3 linked regions of the Coturnix japonica genome follow. The protein of the gene in region 3 interacts with the protein of the main gene of each other region in a pairwise test. Links are inferred from orthologs where the notes say so. Each region holds a gene or a part of one and is shown on either strand. Other genes may lie near its edges.

Region 1 (3,519 bases), on a different chromosome or scaffold from region 3:
AAAAAGATCAATCTCCATCTCTGGAAACAAAGTCATACAGATACACCCAAGTCCACTCGGTAAAATTACCTTTTATTTCACAAACGCTAATTGCTAATAAACAAATTAGAACTTTAGACTGAGTCACTGAAACTTGTTTCAAAGACTTGGAGAAATGGACTTGAGGAAATTTTTTTGTCATTTCAACCCATATTTCTGCTGATAAAAAAAAAAGATGTAAGTAGCAATGAAAATATACTTTGAACTTCACAGTTATTACTTCTTAAAGCTACACAATCTTTGCATAAAAACCAATAAACACAGTGTGAAAACAAAACAGAAAACCCCATTCATCTAGAAAGTATTAAGAAGCTCTTTTTCACATTGATGCGATTCTTGTATCACCAGTGACCCACTTAGAAAACTCTCTCAGATTATCCCTATTTTGCACAGACTATACAGCATTCTTGGATTCAGTTCAGATTTGAAGAGAACTTACTCAGTGCTTTTAGGAAAAATACACTCCTTTTAGCCAAAAAAAAAAGTGACAACTGAAAGTAACATTGGGAGGCTCTCTCATGGCTGATGAGACACACAAGAAAATGAAGTTCTGTGCTAAACATCATTTAAAAGCGTGCTAGCAATTACACAGGAAACGGGACACAGTTATTACAAACCTTTCAATCCCACTTCATCTTTGGAAGAGACAAGACTTTAAATATCACATTAGCTTACAAGTTTTTAAATATATTTGGTAATACCTGCTGGAACACAGATCCTCCTTATTGCTTTGAAACATACAATGTTACAACTGAAACTTAGGTGCTTGTCTCAAGTTCTGAGGTGCCAAAACTAGAAACATCAAATAGAAGATGGTAGGAACAAAGGCACATGGTTCATTTATAAAACCATTTACAGGGTACTTTAATATTTATTTCTATCTACTGGGAACTCTTATTTATTCCTCTTGAGTATAAAAAGACAAGACTACTGAAACGTTATGCAAGATCATCCGCACAGATGCTCTCAAATGGCATGAGCTGAGAATCTTAAACATCATTATATTATTTCTGAAATCAAATTCCTTATTGTGAGCAAGAAATTTCCAAATATTGAAGTTCATAAATCCATTAGTCTTCTAAGCATAGATACTTCAGTGCAATTCTCTTTTAAATGGTTGAAGCTGGAGCAGTTAAGGCAATCTACCAGAAGTGTTTTAAAATCCAGCACAAAGCTTCTAATCATCAAGGTGCCTGGCAGTTATCTGTTCAGAGAGCTGCTTTTTGAAACCTTCATCCACCTGACACAGTCCCAAACACTTTACACACATTTCTTCAGTGTTCTAGGTTTTTTGGAGGTCTGAAGGGAGGCTGAGTCTAACATAAAGCCAGTAGCTCCACAAGGAACTCTTCAGATGGGTTAACATGCTACCCAGCAACTCATGGATGCTAACTTTACTATGCTAAGACTTTCACAGATGGCCAACAATCTACTTCAAAAAAACTCTCAGCAACCACAAATGGAAGCAGAACAGGAATGAAGTAAAATACTATTACTGCCTTCTGTGCTCTGACAGTGTTCTCACATTCACTGTTGCCGAAAGCAAATTATTTTTTCAGTTCACTGATTCACAAGAACTTTAAAAAAGGCTTTCTAAACACATCAACCATTTTAAAATCAACCATTTCATTTTGAAGCTGCGGCAAACAAAATTTCACTCTAATATGTAAGTGGTTTCCATTCAACATTAAAAATGCTATGCCTTATTAAAAAAGGGCTAGTGCTGCCTATCTACTGCTATTCGGCTAATAATTTGGGGTATCAGAAATGACTGTCAGTTATTGCATTATAAAATTTCAAAGAAAAAAAACCTGCATAGCACGTAAACCGTTCTATTCAATACGCTTTCCCATGCATATCCTACAAAGAAGACAGTAGAACTCAGCTTCCGTATGCAGGTGTGTTTAACAATCACCATGCCATCTTTCCTTCTTGCTTGTTGTCGCTTCTCTTCTGAGGACGCTTAAAGAAGTGGAGGGAAAAAATAACAATAATAATCAGAAGAGTATGCCTCAAGTTTTTCATGTGAAATATTAGTCGATTTATTTATGATGACAGTCATCAGAAGACCATACTCCTAGATGTAAAATATTTTTTTTCTTTGAAAAAAGGAAAATCAATACACATTACTACAACCACAGATGCTGTGGTTTTTCTGCCTGCCTCTCTCTCGTTACATAAGTCCATACTGATGACAGGGCCGGTTCCAAAAAAATCTAATCACTATCTAAATTAACAGGGTTGTAGTCAGGGTCATCTTCTTCATCCTCCAACTCTAAATCATCCATTTCTTGGAATAAAGATTCATCAACCTCCACACTGTTTCCAGCTACAAAAAAAAAGAAAAAAAAGAAATTACACAAAGAGAAAAAAAGTACCTGAACAACAAAATACAGTCTCAGAATACAAAAAGTACAAAGCACAGCATGTATATGCACATTATATATAAATAAATACGTGTGTGTGTGTGTGTGTGTGTGTGTGTGTGTGTACCATACACACATGCAGCAAATAACAGCAGACCACATAGAATTATCCTTTAAATTCTCTCCAGGAGAAAATTTGAAAGGCAGACAACTACTTCAGAGAGGCACTGATATGTAAAAAATATATATATATTAGGTTTAAAATTTAAAAGCAAGATGAGGCTTTCTATGCTTTCATACTTTCTTCTAAAATAGACAAAGCTTAAGAGCAAAACTTCAGAACCACTACTTTATTTGTATGTATCAATAGCGACATCTTCTGGCCTCTGAACAAGGTTCTGTTTTTCACTGCTTTTGAAGGAGCCTTTTATAACTGCTTCCATCTAGATAACACCATTAGATTGTAGCAACTACAAAAATCAGTGTTATTTATTAACAACTTCAATTTAAAATTACAACACTGATCAGTGCAGGAGTTTTTAAATAACAGATAGTGACAGGATTAAAAGTTAACATTATAAGTTACGTTCCCATAACTTGGGAACAGAGCCCAAATTCAAATGCGAAGTCTATTCTTCTCAAGGCAGGAAAACGTTCTATCAATAACCCATCTTAAAATTAAAAGTGACACTGACATGAGATTTTAGTCAGAATTATAATACAGACTTTGCTTAGGAATTTTTACATGTTTTAAACCACTGTCTTCCAGGTGCAGAAACAGAAACTTACCTTCCTCTAAGAACTGGATGTCAGATGTATCAAGGTTGTGATCCATTTCAAACAGCTGTTTCCCTAGAAGTTAAAATGTATACATTTCAAAATGCTGTTTGTTTATACAACTACCAACATAAAAACAAACCAACAAAATATCAACAAAAAAAAAACAACAGAAGTCAGATTTCAAATGACTCTTTTCAGATGCCCAAACACATTCCAATCATAAGCGAATCAAGCATTCTGTACAGATTTCACAAGACTTACTACCATTAAGACTTCTATCAAGTTTGATCAAAATTACCCAGAGGTTTCAAAAGCCTTCAGAAGAGAAGGGGGA
Region 2 (2,700 bases), on a different chromosome or scaffold from region 3:
AAGGAATCTTTAGAAGCGGCCATCCTGCTTTTGGGGTTAGAGATCTATACAGAGCACAGCCAGGAGGCCAACAGAAAAGCAAGTGGACTCTGTGAAAACGCAAGAATAAGTTGAGAAACTAAGTATAAAACAGAGCAGCCTCCTAACCACATACAGTTATATCCAAATTGAATGCCTAAGGAAAATGATTTAGTTAAATACTAAGTCATGGTTATTCAATCTACGTAAATAGTTTGCAACGTGACTTAATCCTAATACTTTTAAAATGCATAGCAGGGGTTTGCATTGCAATTGAACTCTTTACACTCAAAAAGGGCACATCCTGCTCACTGATCTTGATGCATCCTCATCTGAAATGAGTTAACCTGTAGAACTATATTGACTTAAGAACGTAGTTGCAATTGTTAAGATCGAACATTTTAACATCAGCCAAACCAGATAAGATGGCAGAAATAAGTTTAACGCACTGCATAGCAACCTCCCAGACAAAACATAGTCATTTCCATCCTTATTAATTAGTTTATTCCCATTTAAAATATACAACTTTGAAAAATTATGCATAATACATTCAAATTTGAATTGCATTCTTAAGCATCCTGATAACCAAACAGCCGATTTCTGGCCAGTATAATACAAGACAGTCAACACACTTTGTTTATGGCCACAAGAGAAAACTCTGCAGAAATTAACATTTATTATCTGATATTGCAGCTCATCCTTGAACACTTACATGTAGGAGTCCATTTCAGTAGATCCTTTCTTCCCCCCCAAATACTTTCTTGTTCCTGTAAGACAAAAATAATACCACAAAGATCCCAAAAAGGGCAAAAAAAAAAAGTGTAGGTCAGCTATTTTAGATATAGCATTAACGATACAAGAGTTGATTCAGCAGTGTCAAAAATAACCATTAAAGCTCCTATTACCACTCGACAGTGGTTTGAGTAAGCTCGCTAACAACGCCATGAAGCTTAACAAACCTGAAGTAGTAACCTGAAAACTTTAGAAAAATGGCCATATAAACGGTATCCTTTAGAACAACAGTACTGTTACAGATTCTTAGTAGTACAGCATTGAGGCATAACCTACAGCCCCCTTGAAAAAGCACCTCGATAGACATCGTTATGGTAAGGTTTTGATAAATTTCAAAGGGCACCTTAACATGGTTGAAACCTGACAACAGCTGCCCCCTGCAGGGTACACAGCAACATCCACAGCTCTGCTGTCAGCCAAATGTAATGGCTACAGAACTTCAAGAGTACCCAACATAATACATCGCATTACCAACATATTACAGGCATTTTTTAGACTGTAACATCCCCTGCTCCACAGAGCTCAGTCCTACCTAACATACAGCAGGGAAAGCATCAGCCTGGATCCAAAACGGGCACTGTATAGCTTGGATTACAACTGTTAATGGATGGGTGGGAGATGAGAGCAGGAGGGGAAGTCAGCTGTTGAATCTGACACACTGCGTGAAGAGTAGGAAAGAAAAGCATCAAATAGACACTACCCCTAATTGAATTTAAGCCGACGTAAGTCACTTCATGAGGACTGGAGAGAAAGCATCCATCACTGTAACAGAAAATTATGTTACTACCCATTTGCTGTCATATCCTAATTTAGCATAGAAAAATCAACACGGGCCTTTGAAAGTCAATAGTTTTTATTTACAGTTTTCATGGCAAAAGGCCATTTTAAACAGAGGGCACCTTATTGTACTGTATCATGTATCAATTCAGTGTCTGTATCCTCGGTATCCAGCTGATCAAATAAAGCTAATCAACACATAAAGAAAAGTGACCTGCATCAGCTCCTCTATAGAGCGCGCAGCGAAAAAGCTAGTCAGGCAGTGCCTAAATCAACACAATCACTATTAAAAATGCAGTTCCGGTCAAGAACGTTTACTTTTTATTTCATACTGTACCTGGTACCAACTTCCCCTTACATTTGCATACTGGCAAAGCAGTTACACTTCCTACTATCAAGTGACTTTATAATACCATTCACTGCAGATTCAGTTGCCAGGTTATTATGAACTATTCTGAGTATTTTAGTGTGATCATAGCAAGACCGGAGATGAGACTGAAGTAAAGTCATCCTGGTATATGACATGCCCATCAGAATCAGCTGGGTAACCATAAACATCCCATTCAAGAATCCTATTCAAAAAGGAGAAAAAGCATAGTCAGTTTGCACTTTATCACATCAATTTTAATTTCCTCTCGAGCTTTTTAATTCATTCTTCTAAATCAAGAGTGTTCAGTTCTTCTTCTAGTTCGTCCAAGTCCTCGCCAGTAAAAAGGTTTTCATCAACAGGAACTGCATCGATGGCTCCATTTTCTAACTCATCACCATCACGATCTCCTTCAGAATCAATTTGTTCACTGTTGTTTATCTCACCACCAGAAGCTTCACTTAGTTTATTGTCTGAAAACACAATTTGTTACATGTCTTAGTGTCACAGGTTCCTTAACCACTAATTCAACATCATACTGAACAGGCTCTGAAGTTTTGCAACATCACTTGTTAACAGTTAACATATATATTTATACTAGCTCATATAGACTAAAGTGCACATGCCCAATCAAAATGCAGGGCTGGCTCATTAGTTACTAGAACAGGACAAAACCAATAAATCAAATAACTAACACTTCAACTCCCAACTTTTATAACAGGGTAGGGATTAATGTTTTGCTCCTA
Region 3 (4,174 bases):
AAGAACCAAAGATGCTGGAAAAACCTTCCTTTCTATCTACATTCAGACACACAAGGATGACAATAAGCTACATAAAGATGACAAAGCAGCATCTTTGTTTAATAGATTCTCATCTGCCTTTAAAATTGGTAGCAGATTTTCAAGGCTGTGTCAACATATGACTTTAGGTTTGCTGAATTTAACTGAAACAAAGGAAAAAGACAATGGCTAATGTTTCACATTGAGCAACTGAATTCCAGCATACAATCCAGCTTCATGAATGTGTCAAGAGCAGAAACTCAGCCATTCTCATAAGGCATAATAACTGAACCAGCTTTGGATGCTGCCTCCAAGCTGCACTACACTCACCTGCAATGACTTGCCGTCCTCTGCCTTTTCCATCCTTGGCACCTTCAATAATTCCTGGCAGATCAAGTAGCTGTTGTTCAGGAAAGGAAAGGGACATATGAGAAAAAACAAATGTTTCTCTTTAAGATAAAATCTATTTGTACCTTTCTTCTTAAGCTGCTGAATTTACTGCACATCTTAACAAGACAAAGAGCAAAATTATTTCCACTTTAATTCCTACATACAGTGTTACTCCTATGGAATAGATAATACCAGAGCATGAGAACTACCACTGGAACTGTTCTCCAGAGAAAAGCAGAATAAAATTAGAACCTCACAGAAACATTTCCAATGTACTCTCGAGCACTTTTACAGATAAATTCTATTCTATTCTGTCCTAATACCATTATATCTATATATACAGTCTTAACTTCATAGACACCAGAAGATCTCACCTGTATCTTTGCTCCTTTGTATCTAATGACTCCAGGCACAGTAGTTAGTGTAGTGAACTCATATGCTGCCACTTCGGAGTAGACACCAGCAAGATTACTGAGCAGAGTAGACTTTCCCACTGATGGAAAACCCACAAACCCAATGCGGGCATCACCTGTCTTTGCAACATCAAAACCTGCAAGGAAATGACAAGAATTGACAAAGCACCTAAAGCCATTTCCTCATCTCCTACAGCTCTGCAGAGCCATATCACCGTTAGTTTTAATATTGCCCGAGTGACAGACAGGTCAGCTTTCCTGACAGGCTAAGAGCAGGACCCAGCCCGCACACTGCACACTGCCCCATTCACCACCTGCCTGCAGAGCAGAGCACCGCAGATACTTGGGCTGCACTTCACCCAGCTGCTGTGTGAGCACTGCAGCTTCCCCCCCCCAACACACACACACACACACCTTTGTATGTGGGCACAGACGTCCATTTCACACAAAACCCTCAAGACTTCTGCAAACACACCGTTATACCACCAAAACGCAGAAGTTCTTTTATTTACTCTTCAGATTCAACTCAAGGCCTCGGGCAGGGCCATAACACAACACCAAGCTACGGGCAGGGCCATTACATAGCACCCTGCTATGGACAGGGCTATAACACAGCACCCTGCTATGGACAGGGCTATAACACAGCACCTGCTATTGACAGGGCTATAACACAACACCCTGCTATGGACAGGGCCATAACACAACACCCTGCTATGGACAGGGCTATAACACAACACCCTGCTATGGACAAGGGCATAACACACAATCACCTCCTGTTTCTATGGATAGGGCCATCAACAATCAAGCACCTGGCTAGTGGATCAGCGGCCATAACACAACACCCTGCTATGGACAGGGCCATAACACAACACCCAGCTATGGACAGGGCTATAACACAACACCCTGCTATGGACAGGGCTATAACACAGCACCCTGCTATGGACAGGGCTATAACACAGCACCCTGCTATGGACAGGGCCATAACACAACACCCTGCTATGGACAGGGCCATAACACAACACCCTGCTATGGACAGGGCCATAACACAACACCCTGCTATGGAGAGGGCTATAACACAACACCTGCTATGGACAGGGCTATAACACAACACCCTGCTATGGACAGAACCATAACACAACACCCTGCTATGGAGAGGGCTATAACACAACACAACACCCTGCTATGGACAGGCCCATAACACAACACCCAGCTATGGACAGGGCTATAACACAACACCTGCTATGGACAGGGCTATAACACAGCACCCTGCTATGGACAGGCCCATAACACAGCACCCTGCTATGGACAGGGCCATAACACAGCACCCTGCTATGGACAGGGCTATAACACAACACCCTGCTATTGACAGGGCCATAACACAACACCCTGCTATGGGCAGGGCTATAACACAGCACCCAGCTATGGACAGGGCCATAACACAACACCCTGCTATGGACAGGGCCATAACACAGCACCCTGCTATGGACAGGGCCATAACACAACACCCTGCTATGGACAGGGCTATAACACAACACCCTGCTATGGACAGGGCTATAACACAGCACCCAGTTCCGTTCAGCACACTCCACATAACACAGCCCGTCCCACGCACCTTCCCCCGGTCCTCCTCCTCCTCCTCCCTTTGGTGTGATCAGCTCCCTGCGCAGTTTCGCCAGCCGCGCCTTCAGCAGCCCCAGGTGATGCGCCGTGGCCTTGTTCTTCTGCGTGCGGGCCATCTGCAACAACGCGGAACACAGGGCTCAGCCGTCCGCCGGGCCCTGCAGGATCCCCCCGCCCCGTGACGGAGCGGCTCGGTGCCGGACCCCGCCGGCTCGTTACCTCAGCCTCGATCTCCGCGATCTTCGCCAATGTCCCGCTCATGGCGGCGATGGACCCGGACCTACCGACCGCACCGCAACTACCGACCGCACCGCAGCCTCAGGCCGCTCCTCAGGCCCGGCCGGCAGCGCGCAGGCGCACAACGGCTTCTCGCGAGAAGCTGTGGGCGGGAAGCGGCGGGCGGAGCGCTGCGCTCTGCTCACTGCTCTGCGCACGGCACTGCACTGCACGGCCGGAGGGGGGCGCTGCTGCGTGCCGTGTGCAGCGCCGTGAGGGGACGGGCGGGAGCGTGTGTGAGGGAGAGCGGGAGTGAGGGAGCGGAGCGTAGAGCCGGCGTTTGCTCTCACGTTATATATCTACATGTCAAATTGAACGTGGTTTATAATAAGAAGCACGCTGTGCCACGCACTGTATAGAGGCATTTAAAAGGATGCTTGCACAACCACCTGCTCCGCCAGCCGGGATTCTGAGAATTGCAGCACCCAGAATGTAACTTTACCACAGCTTTGCTTGTGGAATTGTTATACGTTGACCTACGGTAAGAAGTAAAGCAGGGAGAGCTCCTTGCACAGGTCTCTGTTCTCATTCTTCCTCTCCTGGTCTCCTTCCCGCCCCATGTGAATTAAAAAAGCCATCTTTCACGTCACGAGCTCCGTTACAGTTGGAACTGTCATTAATATGAGCTTATGTAGAACTTAATGAAATAGAATCTCAAATAAAGTGGGATTAGAGCTCCTAGTAATGTTAGCTCAGGTAAGCCAGGGTAAATACGAGTGCACCTACCGCCGTGTGTTTGTTCATGGAATTCTAATTATTCCTTTGTGAACAATACTGGCTTTTAACATAGGACGCAGCAGGTTCAGCACTGCCGTTAATTTCTTTTGCTTCTCACTTCAGTTGGAATTTGACTTGTTTGATCCATAGCTGAATTCAGCCTTTAGTCCCTGACATTTGTAGTCCTGTTTGGTAACAGGAAAAAACATGAAGAAAAGTGCAAATGTGGGATGCTTAACCAGACTGCCTCTGTATTTGCAGAAGGTATTGATAACTGCAGGGCTAAAGCAATGGCATTAGTTGTTTTCACAGCCCAACTCCAGATCTCACTTACTGTGTCAAATTAAATCTACAAGTGTGGGATGAATGAGCAGAGATGTCAATAAATGACATTCTTAAGACAAAACTGCTCAGTACACAACCTTAAATCCTTTTTTTTTTTTCCAGAGAGCTATTCAAGCAAAGGTCCTCTAAGGACCTGAGGCACTTACAAACTTCTATCAGTGTTGAAAGGAGTAAAAGTTTCATTGAGATCATTTGCCCTATTATTTTTCCAGAAAACAACAACAACAACAACAACAAACATTTTCTAACTGGTCTGAATATTTGAAGTAGTTCAGTATTTGTAGTGTATTGGTTTATAAGAGCACCCTCTATGAAGCTTCAGAAAGGCTTATGCAGTTGTAGGGGCTGGTAGGGACCTCTGGAGAGGTTGGTTCCATGTTGTGAACGGATTTACT

What was found. The genes of interacting proteins can lie anywhere in the genome.
Region 1: the proteins of DRG1 (region 3) and RWDD1 interact in binary tests that used the Homo sapiens proteins (3 or more experiments, as listed by UniProt). The two-hybrid records come from large-scale screens. The link is inferred for Coturnix japonica from reciprocal best matches to the Homo sapiens genes DRG1 and RWDD1.
Region 2: the proteins of DRG1 (region 3) and ZC3H15 interact in binary tests that used the Homo sapiens proteins (3 or more experiments, as listed by UniProt). The two-hybrid records come from large-scale screens. The link is inferred for Coturnix japonica from reciprocal best matches to the Homo sapiens genes DRG1 and ZC3H15.

Annotation. Positions count from the first base shown.
Region 1 is NC_029518.1:58,028,210-58,031,728, forward strand, and holds the end of RWDD1 (RWD domain-containing protein 1), read right to left. Parts: intron 3,258-3,519; coding exon 3,195-3,257; intron 2,369-3,194; coding exon 2,256-2,368; 3' UTR 52-2,255; downstream 1-51. UniProt on the Homo sapiens protein: Protects DRG2 from proteolytic degradation.
Region 2 is NC_029522.1:5,371,776-5,374,475, forward strand, and holds the end of ZC3H15 (zinc finger CCCH domain-containing protein 15), read right to left. Parts: intron 2,428-2,700; coding exon 2,237-2,427; 3' UTR 506-2,236; downstream 1-505. UniProt on the Homo sapiens protein: Protects DRG1 from proteolytic degradation. Stimulates DRG1 GTPase activity likely by increasing the affinity for the potassium ions.
Region 3 is NC_029530.1:7,969,750-7,973,923, forward strand, and holds the start of DRG1 (developmentally-regulated GTP-binding protein 1), read right to left. Parts: upstream 2,814-4,174; 5' UTR 2,703-2,813; coding exon 2,661-2,702; intron 2,558-2,660; coding exon 2,434-2,557; intron 959-2,433; coding exon 783-958; intron 419-782; coding exon 349-418; intron 1-348. UniProt on the Homo sapiens protein: Catalyzes the conversion of GTP to GDP through hydrolysis of the gamma-phosphate bond in GTP. Appears to have an intrinsic GTPase activity that is stimulated by ZC3H15/DFRP1 binding likely by increasing the affinity for the potassium ions.